Arabidopsis thaliana: one gene and its partner. The protein of the gene in region 2 purifies or fractionates together with the protein of the main gene of each other region. This does not show direct contact. Each region holds a gene or a part of one and is shown on either strand. Other genes may lie near its edges.

Region 1 (4,875 bases), on a different chromosome or scaffold from region 2:
TTTGGAAGTAACAATTGCTGCTCTACTGAAATTTTTTTCTTTTCAGAATGAAGATGACAATGGTCATTTGGCGTATTGGTTGACAAACACATCGGCACTACTGTTTTTACTTCAAAAAAGTCTTAAACCTGCTGGCGCCGGAGCAACGGCAAGCAAGAAGCCACCCATAACAACTTCCTTGTTTGGAAGAATGGCCTTGGTATTTTAACTTTCTGTGTTAGTAGGGCTTTTTGACGGATCTTTTACTTTGAATCTTAACTATCCTTTCCCTTATTGTTTAACCAGAGCTTCCGCTCATCACCAAACCTTGCTGCTGCGGCTGAAGCTGCTGCTCTTGCGGTGATCCGCCCAGTGGAGGCAAAATACCCGGCTCTGCTTTTCAAGCAACAGCTTGCAGCATATGTGGAGAAAATATTTGGGATGATTAGGGATAACTTGAAGAAAGAGCTCTCAGCTTTAATATCTATGTGCATTCAGGTTTCATTGACTTCTCTCTTTGCAGCTATATATTTTTGTCCTGACTTTACGTTGTTGTATCCTAATGCTGTGACCACTCGCTTGTTGCGTTGCACCTTGATAATAAATGTGTTTTACTATTGTAACAAGTCCTGTTCTGTCAAAACTTTGAACTTCAGGCACCGAGAATTTCAAAAGGAGGGATACAAAGATCTGCTAGATCTCTTGGAAAAGATTCTCCTGCTATTCACTGGCAGAGCATTATTGATGGTCTCAATTCGCTGCTTGCCATATTGAAAGATAATTATGTAAGGAAATAGTAAAAGTTCCATGACATTATTCTGTTTTCAAATCCTCAAATTCTCATATGTTTCATGGTGTACAGGTTCCTTTGGTACTCATCCAGAAGATACACACTCAAACTTTCTCGTTCGTCAATGTGCAACTATTTAACAGGTAAATAATACTTGAGAATTACATCTAATGGTTTCTACACACCTTATCATCGATACTCGTCAAAGTACAAACCTTCCTATGGTTGATATTTCTCAAATTCCTATGGAAGATATAAGCCAAGATCACTAGTGTTTTCTTACTTGGTTTTTTCCTTAACATCTTACAATAGCCTTCTACTGCGTAAAGAGTGTTGTACATTCAGCAATGGAGAATTTGTAAAGTCTGGGCTTGCAGAGCTAGAATTGTGGTGCGGCCAAGTCAATGAAGTAAGTTCCTACCTCACGTTTTCCTTCCGGAAAAAGTTTCTTTCGGCTCATTATATCATTCTTTGATTTTGCAGTATGCTGGGCCATCTTGGGATGAACTGAAACACATCAGACAAGCTGTTGGGTTCCTGGTATGTTTTACTCTTGTTTAATACTAACTTGTGGAACTCTTGTTTCTTGAATCTTCAAAAACGAATACTTCTCCTCTCGTAACTTATCAGGTTATCCACCAGAAGTACAGAGTATCATACGATGATATAGTACATGATCTTTGCCCGGTAAAGCTCCTTCTTAGTTTCTAGAAACACGTTTTTGCCTAGACTCCATACTTAATGGCTTTCTTGTTTCACTTTATTACAGATCCTTAGTGTCCAACAACTTTACCGGATATGCACATTATACTGGGACGACTGCTATAACACCCGAAGTGTGTCTCAAGAGGTAATATCGAGCATGCGTGCGCTCATGACAGAAGAATCCAACGATGCCGACAGCAATTCCTTCTTGTTGGATGATAATTCCAGGTAACTCGAATCATTTCTTAAAGATTAATATCAGTAGTAGAAACTAAAACCGGTTTATTGTTCGCAGCATTCCCTTCTCAATAGACGAGATTTCGAATTCGATGCACGAAAAAGACTTTGCGAGTGTCAAACCGGCCAAAGAGCTACTGGAAAACCCAGAATTCGTATTCTTGCACTAGTGAGAAGCTCGGATTCTAAAAAAGCTCTTCCTCTGTTTCTTTTTAGTCTGAGTGGGGGAGGGGTGCCTTCTTGAACCAAAAGGAAAGAAGATTACAAAAGTGTAAATTTTTACTTCTTGTGGGGTTGTTTCTTTCTTGCAAAACCTCTGTGATTTCTCTCTCACCAATTCATTCATTTATTTATTTGACCCCATTTCAAAGTTTTTTCTCCATTTTAGACCCAAGATTATTATCTGGTTTTTTTTTTTCACGGCTCAAGTTCTACACGATGAAGATCCTTTGTTGTTGTTGTACAGAATTAATCTACTTAATTTGTTATAAACTTGCCCCAACTCTTTTCAGTGATTTTTTTTTAAAAAATTTGGGACTCAATCAAACTCCATTACACCTGGTGATATTGGTTTAAAACCAACGTTTCTGACTTCAACAGCCGAGATTCAAAGACTTCAAAACCTTCCAAAAAAAAACAAATTCATAACTGGTTCGGAAAGATAAATTGACAAACCCGAGAGAGATAGAGGAACACGAACGCTTATAGTCGATCGCAAATAGGCCTTTCACTTGAGGTGTCTGTCTCAAGTTCGAATTCTAAAAGTTTTATGGTTTTTTTTGTTTAACTGTGTTTTATGTTGGGCCAAATTGTTTTTTGCTTTTAGGCATTAAATTTAGTCGGGCCGGCCCTGCACATAAAATTAATATGATGAAATGTTTTGGGTTTGATACTTTGATTCATAGAAAAAGTAAATTAGTCTCTACTGATAGTAATTTAATTAAATACTAGTATTTCATTATTTTGTAAGAAATTTTAGAAAGGGAAAAAAAAAAAAGGTTACGCGAAGGAAACCAAAAACCCTTTAGGGACTTGGATAGAAAAAAAAAAACCATTTTGTGCATCTTCTTCAAGCTGCGCCGCTTTCTCACTCTTTTTTATCTCTCAAATTTGACCTTCTCCGTTGTTCTTTCGCATCGCTCAGGTTCGTTTCGATCTCGAATTACATCTCCTACGGATTCAATATTTGTTCAACCTAATTGTTCCCATTTCTATCGCACGAAGATTAGTTCGGGGAATCTAATCGTAATCATAATGTTTTTTTAGATTGCGAATCGAAATTATTGTGATATTTAGGTAACGGAGCTCAGGTATAGAATCTGTGTGTCGACTTGATTAGGGCAGATGTAGAAAAACCTGAGAAGTAGTCTTTTTCAGATTAACTAGGGTTAGGGTTCTGATTTGATGCTCGGTTTTAAGCAGGAGCAGAAGCTTCAATCTTTGATAATGTCGAGGAACAAGGGTTTGGCTGAGCAAGATCTTAAAAAATTGGATGTAACTGTGCTACATCCTCTGTCTCCTGAGGTCATTTCTCGCCAGGCCACTATTAATATAGGTAACGCTTTTTTGAGTCTTTTATATAAGTTGATGTTGAAGAAACTGGCAGTTCCTATAAGCTAAAGATGATAGTGTTATGTTTCAGGAACCATTGGTCATGTCGCTCATGGAAAGTCCACTGTTGTTAAAGCTATTTCTGGTGTCCAGGTAAAATTTGATTATGCGGTTTTCACAATTGTAATCCTAGAGGCTTTTCTAGCTTGCAGCGTTTGATCAATTGGAGTGGGTGAAGTGATTTCTATGGTTTCCTTATCTTCTCTGTACAGACTGTCCGTTTTAAAAATGAATTGGAGCGTAACATTACCATTAAGCTTGGATATGCAAACGCCAAGATTTACAAATGTGAGGATGAGAAATGCCCTAGACCAATGTGCTACAAGTGAGTCCTTCTTACAACAGTGTTTTTATCTTCTACTTCTACTATAAGGTTTGAGTCAAGGTCTAACAACTTATCTGTTGTATTAGGGCCTACGGAAGTGGAAAGGAAGACACTCCCAATTGTGATGTCCCCGGATTTGAAAACTCCAAGATGAAACTATTGAGGCATGTCTCATTCGTTGATTGCCCGGTATGATGAGTTTTACCGTTATCTTTATTCTTCATTAATTACCATTTTCATTTGATAGTATAAGTGTATAACCATTTCATGTGTCAATGAGCTGTTCGTTTATTGTGTATTATCGATGTTGTTGTGCTCCACCTGCATGATTTTGGGTCTCTCATTTAATTGGGTGAAGGGCTTAAAGAGTGAGGGTTGATGGAGAAGTATTCATTGATGTTTCCATCTTTTGCTTTTCTTATCTCTACTTCATTCTTGTTGAATGTATTCTTGTTCTATTCTTCAGGGTCACGATATTCTCATGGCAACAATGCTTAATGGAGCAGCCATCATGGATGGTGCACTACTTTTAATCGCTGCAAATGAAACTTGTCCACAACCACAAACGTCTGAACATCTTGCTGCCGTTGAGATTATGCAACTTAAGCATATCATCATCCTTCAGAACAAGATTGATCTTATTCAAGAGAATGTTGCCATTAATCAGCACGAGGCAATTCAGAAATTTATAATGGTTAGGTTTTCTTATCTCTTAAGGATCTGTTGTAGCATTCTCATTTCGTCACTTGGTTAAGCTAAGTATTGAAGAACTTGGTTCTAAAATTTCTTTCACATCCTGTTGCAGAACACTGTTGCTGATGCTGCTCCGATCGTCCCTGTCTCAGCACAACTGAAATACAACATTGATGTGGTGTGCGAGTACATTGTCAAGAAGATCCCAATCCCTGAGAGGAATTTTGTGTCACCCCCAAATATGATAGTGATTCGGTCTTTTGATGTCAACAAACCTGGTTATGAGGTTGATGAGATCAAAGGTGGAGTTGCAGGTGGAAGTATCCTACGGGTATCTATTCTCTCTCTCTCCCTTTCTCTTGTTGTGCCTCTTAAGTACATCAAGCTTTATATGGTGTAATCAGTATCTCTTAACTACATGTATATTGTAGGGTGTTTTGAGAGTCAACCAATTAATCGAAATCCGACCTGGTATCGTTACCAAAGACGAGCGTGGCAACTCAAAATGCACTCCAATTTACTCTCGCATCATTTC
Region 2 (4,875 bases):
TTAATATCATCTCCATAACCAAAACCCGTGCCCAAATTCCCAAAATCGGATACATTTAAAAGGCGATTAGATTGTAATTCTAGGGTTTAGGTTTTTTTTTTCCAGAATGTAAAGGAAATCGAAAGCGTACCTACTGCGCCGCCAAGAGCGCCGCCAACGGCAACTCCGGCAGTGATTTTGGCCAAACAGCTATTTTTCGCCATCTTCTTCTTTTTAGAGACAATTCGTTTCTTGTGTCGGAGAATAGTTTTTTACGGTTGCCCTCGCCGCTTTTAAGGTTTTTAACTTTGAAGTTTTTGCTTACGCAATGGATTGATTTTGCCTTTCGCTACAAGGTCGAGCCACAACACCGACCTGTTCCTTAACCGGCCTAACCGATTCGAACCAAATTTCTGGAAAGACGTCATTGGTTTACTTACAGCTTTACCCAATTTACTAATTTACCCACCCGACTCCACCGGATCTTAACCCAACTAAGCCGGCACTATTATTTTTTGTTATAAGTTTAGCAAAATAGACATTTTAATTTCATTTGGAAACCAACAATTATTTAAAAAATTTACACTAATATTTTAATGTGTTAGTTACTTTGATATAGATTTTGGTTTATGGTAATTTACATTATAAATAATAAAAGGGTCATATTCTTTTAAGAATGTTGTTTATCGAATTAAATGAATGTTATATGGTGTAAAGAAAATTTAGAGAAGGTTAGTTATTGGAAAAACATATGTTTATTCAAAGGGAAGCTAATTGCTCAAAAATAAATGTGCCGGCAAAATCCAAGTCAAGTCAAAGCATTAGCAAGTTAGCAGAATAAGAAGGAGAAGAAGAAAAGCATGACCTCACAACTCCAAAACATGTTCTTTAGTAATTAGACATCTCAAGAAAAGACGACTACTCTCTACTCACTTGAGCTACCAATATATCAATCACTTGAGCTACCTGCGACCAAAATTGATTTTGATTGGCGCCACAGGTCGTCCTGATCCACACTGTCAAAACAAACCCCATACGTTCATATTTGCAGAATAGCAAAACAAAATTGGATACTTCTTAAATACTAGTATTCAGACAGTAATTACTCATTTACTTGCTCAACCAAATTAGCTTTTATCATGCAGTACGTAGGCAAAGATATCAGCATCACATCAAGATGATGCAATATAGTAAGCCTCCGAATGAGTTTTGTATCACTCTTAACTACGTAATATCAGACACTAATGTTGGCAAATTCCTGACTAGGTAAAAGAAACAGCAATCATCAAAGATAGGCATTGGCTTGTTAAGTATCAAGAGAAGAGAATTTTCTTAAGCAGCTTTCCTATTCAATCACGCAGAAAGCAAAAAATAAAAACTTGTCCAAGGCAAGAGAAGCTAATTGGGTAGAGTTTTACCTTTCCACATCTCAAAAAGAAGAGACGATTCTCCTTTGAAAGAATTGCCTCTGTGCTCTTGCAAGGAATGCACATGACGTAGTCAACTGAAATTAACAGCAATTAGAGAAATCACTTTAAGAAATCAACAGAAGGATGTTTAGTTGAATCCTAATCTTGAGAGGAAATGTTACTTACGGATATATCCTCGTAATAACGATTCAAAGTCCCTCTGTGTAAATCTCCCCCTAACAACCAACCTTTGCTGATCATCAAGTTTACCCCTAGTACCCAGCTCAGCAAGCAAGAACGCCATAACATGATCAGGGTTTCGATGCATCCTGAAAAAGTTTTAGTTCCAAATACAAACATGAAAACTCACTACGTTCTAGTAACAATGGTTCCAAAAGTAAAAGTAAAAAAGTTTGAAGGGGCAGAGATATGGTAATTTCTTCATACGTCTTGCAATAGTCCATAAAGTTGACAAAGACTGTCTTCTTTGTGCCTTTCGCTGTCTCTTCACGAAGAACTTGTGGTGGCCATATAATTGTAAGAAGCCAAATTCCAACAAGCTCCGGACTATTTTCACGCAGGATATTAAAGACCCTACGAAGAATCTGTACATATAATTCCCATCAGAAAAAGAAAAAAAACAAGCAGGAAGAAGTATGCATTGACTTAAGGAAAGAATGCTCCAAAGCAATATTTATATAAGTCGCACGTTCTAGTAACCAAAGAGAATCATCTACCAACTATGCATGCTTAATACAAGATCCTGAAGTACAACTGTTTACTTGGTTTTCATTTTTGGTTGGGTCAAAGGATAGCTGATGTAAAAGGGCAACAACAACAATCAAACCAAACGAAAAAGGAAACAAAATCTATTGTCTTAATTTAGGGAATTAATCAAGGAGTCCTTGTAGACAAAAACAAAATGTCAAAAGCCAAACTTACTTCTTGCTCATCATCCTTCACTTCTTTCTTGTTCTCATTACTTTCATCAGCCATGATTTACTGCCAAGAAAAGCATTCAGAAAACAAACCAAATACTAAAATCAAGAATAGAATGTGTATGATCATCAACAACAAAGATTGGACTCTGTTACCTAAAACATGATAAGTAGTAATTTCTATTCCGAGTCTAAAACATGATAAGGATTTACCTTTGGTAACGAAACCGCAATGCAAGATTGGTCTTAACGAGGAAAACACAAGCGAGAGAAGCTATGAAGACTGCGTTTCCCAACCCTAATTTTTTTTCTTTCTCAAAAGCTTTTTATAATTAAAAAAAAAAAAACCATAATTTTTTAGATTTTTGCCACAATTTAATTCGTAAAACAAAAACGTAATTGACACAAAAAGAGTCTAAATTTACACACTGACGGCAAAAAGGGATATAATTTATCGACAAACTCACAAAAGTATCGGCGAAGAAGAGATTGGATTCTCTGTTTCAGTTCCTTAAGAGTTTGAGGAGATTCTCTGTGTATAAATTGAGATGGTTCCTCCCATAATTTATAAGTATAAGCGAAGGAAAGATCGGCGACTTGGTAGGGACGATGATAGTTCAGTGATGATGACTCGTCGGAGACCCGACTCCGATTTTATCGAGGTAAGTGATGAGAATCGCTCGTTTGCTTTATTTAAGGAGGATGATGAAAAAAATCGTGATTTGGGTTTAGTTGATGATGGTTCCACAAATTTGGTTCTTCAATGTCATGATGATGGTTGTTCCCTAGAGAAGGATAATAGCAATAGCTTGGATGATTTGTTCTCTGGGTTTGTTTATAAAGGTGTGAGGAGGAGGAAAAGGGATGACTTTGGAAGTATAACAACGAGTAATCTTGTTTCTCCTCAAATTGCTGATGATGATGATGATAGTGTTTCTGATTCACATATTGAAAGGCAAGAATGCAGTGAATTTCATGTTGAAGTAAGAAGAGTTTCTCCATACTTTCAGGGATCTACTGTTTCACAACAGTCCAAAGAAGGGTGTGATTCTGATAGTGTTTGTTCCAAAGAAGGATGCAGCAAAGTTCAAGCTAAAGTCCCACGAGTTTCTCCATACTTCCAGGCATCAACTATTTCACAGTGTGATTCTGACATTGTTTCTTCTTCTCAAAGTGGAAGAAATTATCGGAAAGGAAGCAGCAAACGTCAAGTTAAAGTCAGAAGAGTTTCGCCATATTTCCAGGAATCAACTGTTTCAGAACAGCCAAACCAAGCTCCTAAAGGTTTGCGTAACTATTTTAAGGTTGTGAAAGTTTCAAGATATTTCCATGCTGATGGAATCCAAGTCAATGAATCACAAAAGGAGAAATCAAGAAATGTGAGGAAAACTCCTATTGTGAGCCCTGTACTCTCGCTTTCTCAAAAGACCGATGATGTATACCTGCGAAAAACGCCGGATAACACATGGGTGCCTCCACGATCTCCATGTAATCTGCTTCAAGAAGATCATTGGCATGATCCATGGCGGGTGCTGGTCATATGTATGCTTCTCAACAAAACATCTGGTGCACAGGTTTTTCCTCATTTCTATCTCTTTTTATTCCATATCTTTGGTGAACATAAGTAATTAGCATTTGAGACCAATTAGTTTAAGTGGATGTGTTTAGTGTTGCCATTGCTTGTTGCATATTTTCTCAGTTAGTTACAGGAATTAGTACTCGAAAATCATTCTTGAGGGAAGTCCAAAATTTGTTAGGAAGTAAGAAGTTAGACCTCTGTGCGCTTGAATCTTTCAATTTTAACTGTTGCAGAAGAAGTAGCTGCAGTTTTTGGTTTGATAAGTAATTGATTATCAATGATTTGAATTGCTTGGTCTTGTTGAATATGGTAGAAGAAAAGGCTTTGTAAATTTATTTTAAAAGGTGATTGCAGACGCGGGGAGTGATATCAGACTTGTTTGGATTGTGTACTGATGCAAAGACTGCAACAGAAGTTAAAGAAGAGGAGATAGAGAATCTAATAAAACCTCTTGGATTACAAAAGAAGAGAACCAAAATGATTCAACGGTTGTCTCTAGAGTATCTTCAAGAGAGCTGGACTCATGTCACTCAACTGCATGGCGTTGGAAAGTATGCAGCGGATGCGTATGCGATATTCTGTAACGGGAATTGGGATCGCGTGAAGCCTAATGATCATATGCTAAACTATTACTGGGACTACCTCAGGATTCGGTATAAATTATGAATGAGAAGGTACAAGTATATATTTGTCCTAATTTGCTCTGTTTTTTGTTGTTGTCAATGTGTAAAAGTTGTAAATGAAAATCTTGTCTTATACTAGTTTGTTATATCATATATTGGAATGTGTTTTGGTATCATCTATGGGGTTTTCTGTGTTTAATATTGTCGAACACCTAAGATGGGGCATGATTGTTGATAATGAAAAGCTATGCGACTTTCTCAGGTTCTTTTTCTGTATTAAAAATTAAGTTAGTTCTTTGTTAGATTAGGCACCAACTATATAATAATTCAAAGAATGACAATGATGA

What was found. Proteins that work in one complex are often made in the same cells at the same time.
Region 1: the proteins of AT3G07920 (region 2) and EIF2 GAMMA fractionate together in Arabidopsis thaliana (co-fractionation; one large-scale study listed by BioGRID). This does not show direct contact.

What each region holds. Positions count from the first base shown.
Region 1 is NC_003070.9:1,094,266-1,099,140, forward strand, and holds the start of EIF2 GAMMA (eukaryotic translation initiation factor 2 gamma subunit), read left to right. Parts: upstream 1-2,616; 5' UTR 2,617-2,855; exon of another isoform or gene 2,856-3,021; intron 3,022-3,133; 5' UTR 3,134-3,157; coding exon 3,158-3,266; intron 3,267-3,353; coding exon 3,354-3,415; intron 3,416-3,534; coding exon 3,535-3,647; intron 3,648-3,733; coding exon 3,734-3,836; intron 3,837-4,113; coding exon 4,114-4,341; intron 4,342-4,452; coding exon 4,453-4,671; intron 4,672-4,771; coding exon 4,772-4,875. Other genes in the region: XIB (myosin XI B), read left to right, coding at 47-199, 286-477, 636-764, 842-912, 1,082-1,178, 1,253-1,309, 1,400-1,456, 1,539-1,702 and 1 more.
Region 2 is NC_003074.8:2,523,846-2,528,720, forward strand, and holds AT3G07920 (Translation initiation factor IF2/IF5), read right to left. Parts: upstream 2,385-4,875; coding exon 2,331-2,384; intron 1,994-2,330; coding exon 1,836-1,993; intron 1,718-1,835; coding exon 1,575-1,717; intron 1,484-1,574; coding exon 1,398-1,483; intron 996-1,397; coding exon 942-995; 3' UTR 575-941; downstream 1-574. Other genes in the region: AT3G07910 (reactive oxygen species modulator-like protein), read right to left, coding at 131-203; AT3G07930 (DNA glycosylase superfamily protein), read left to right, coding at 2,875-3,900, 4,260-4,571.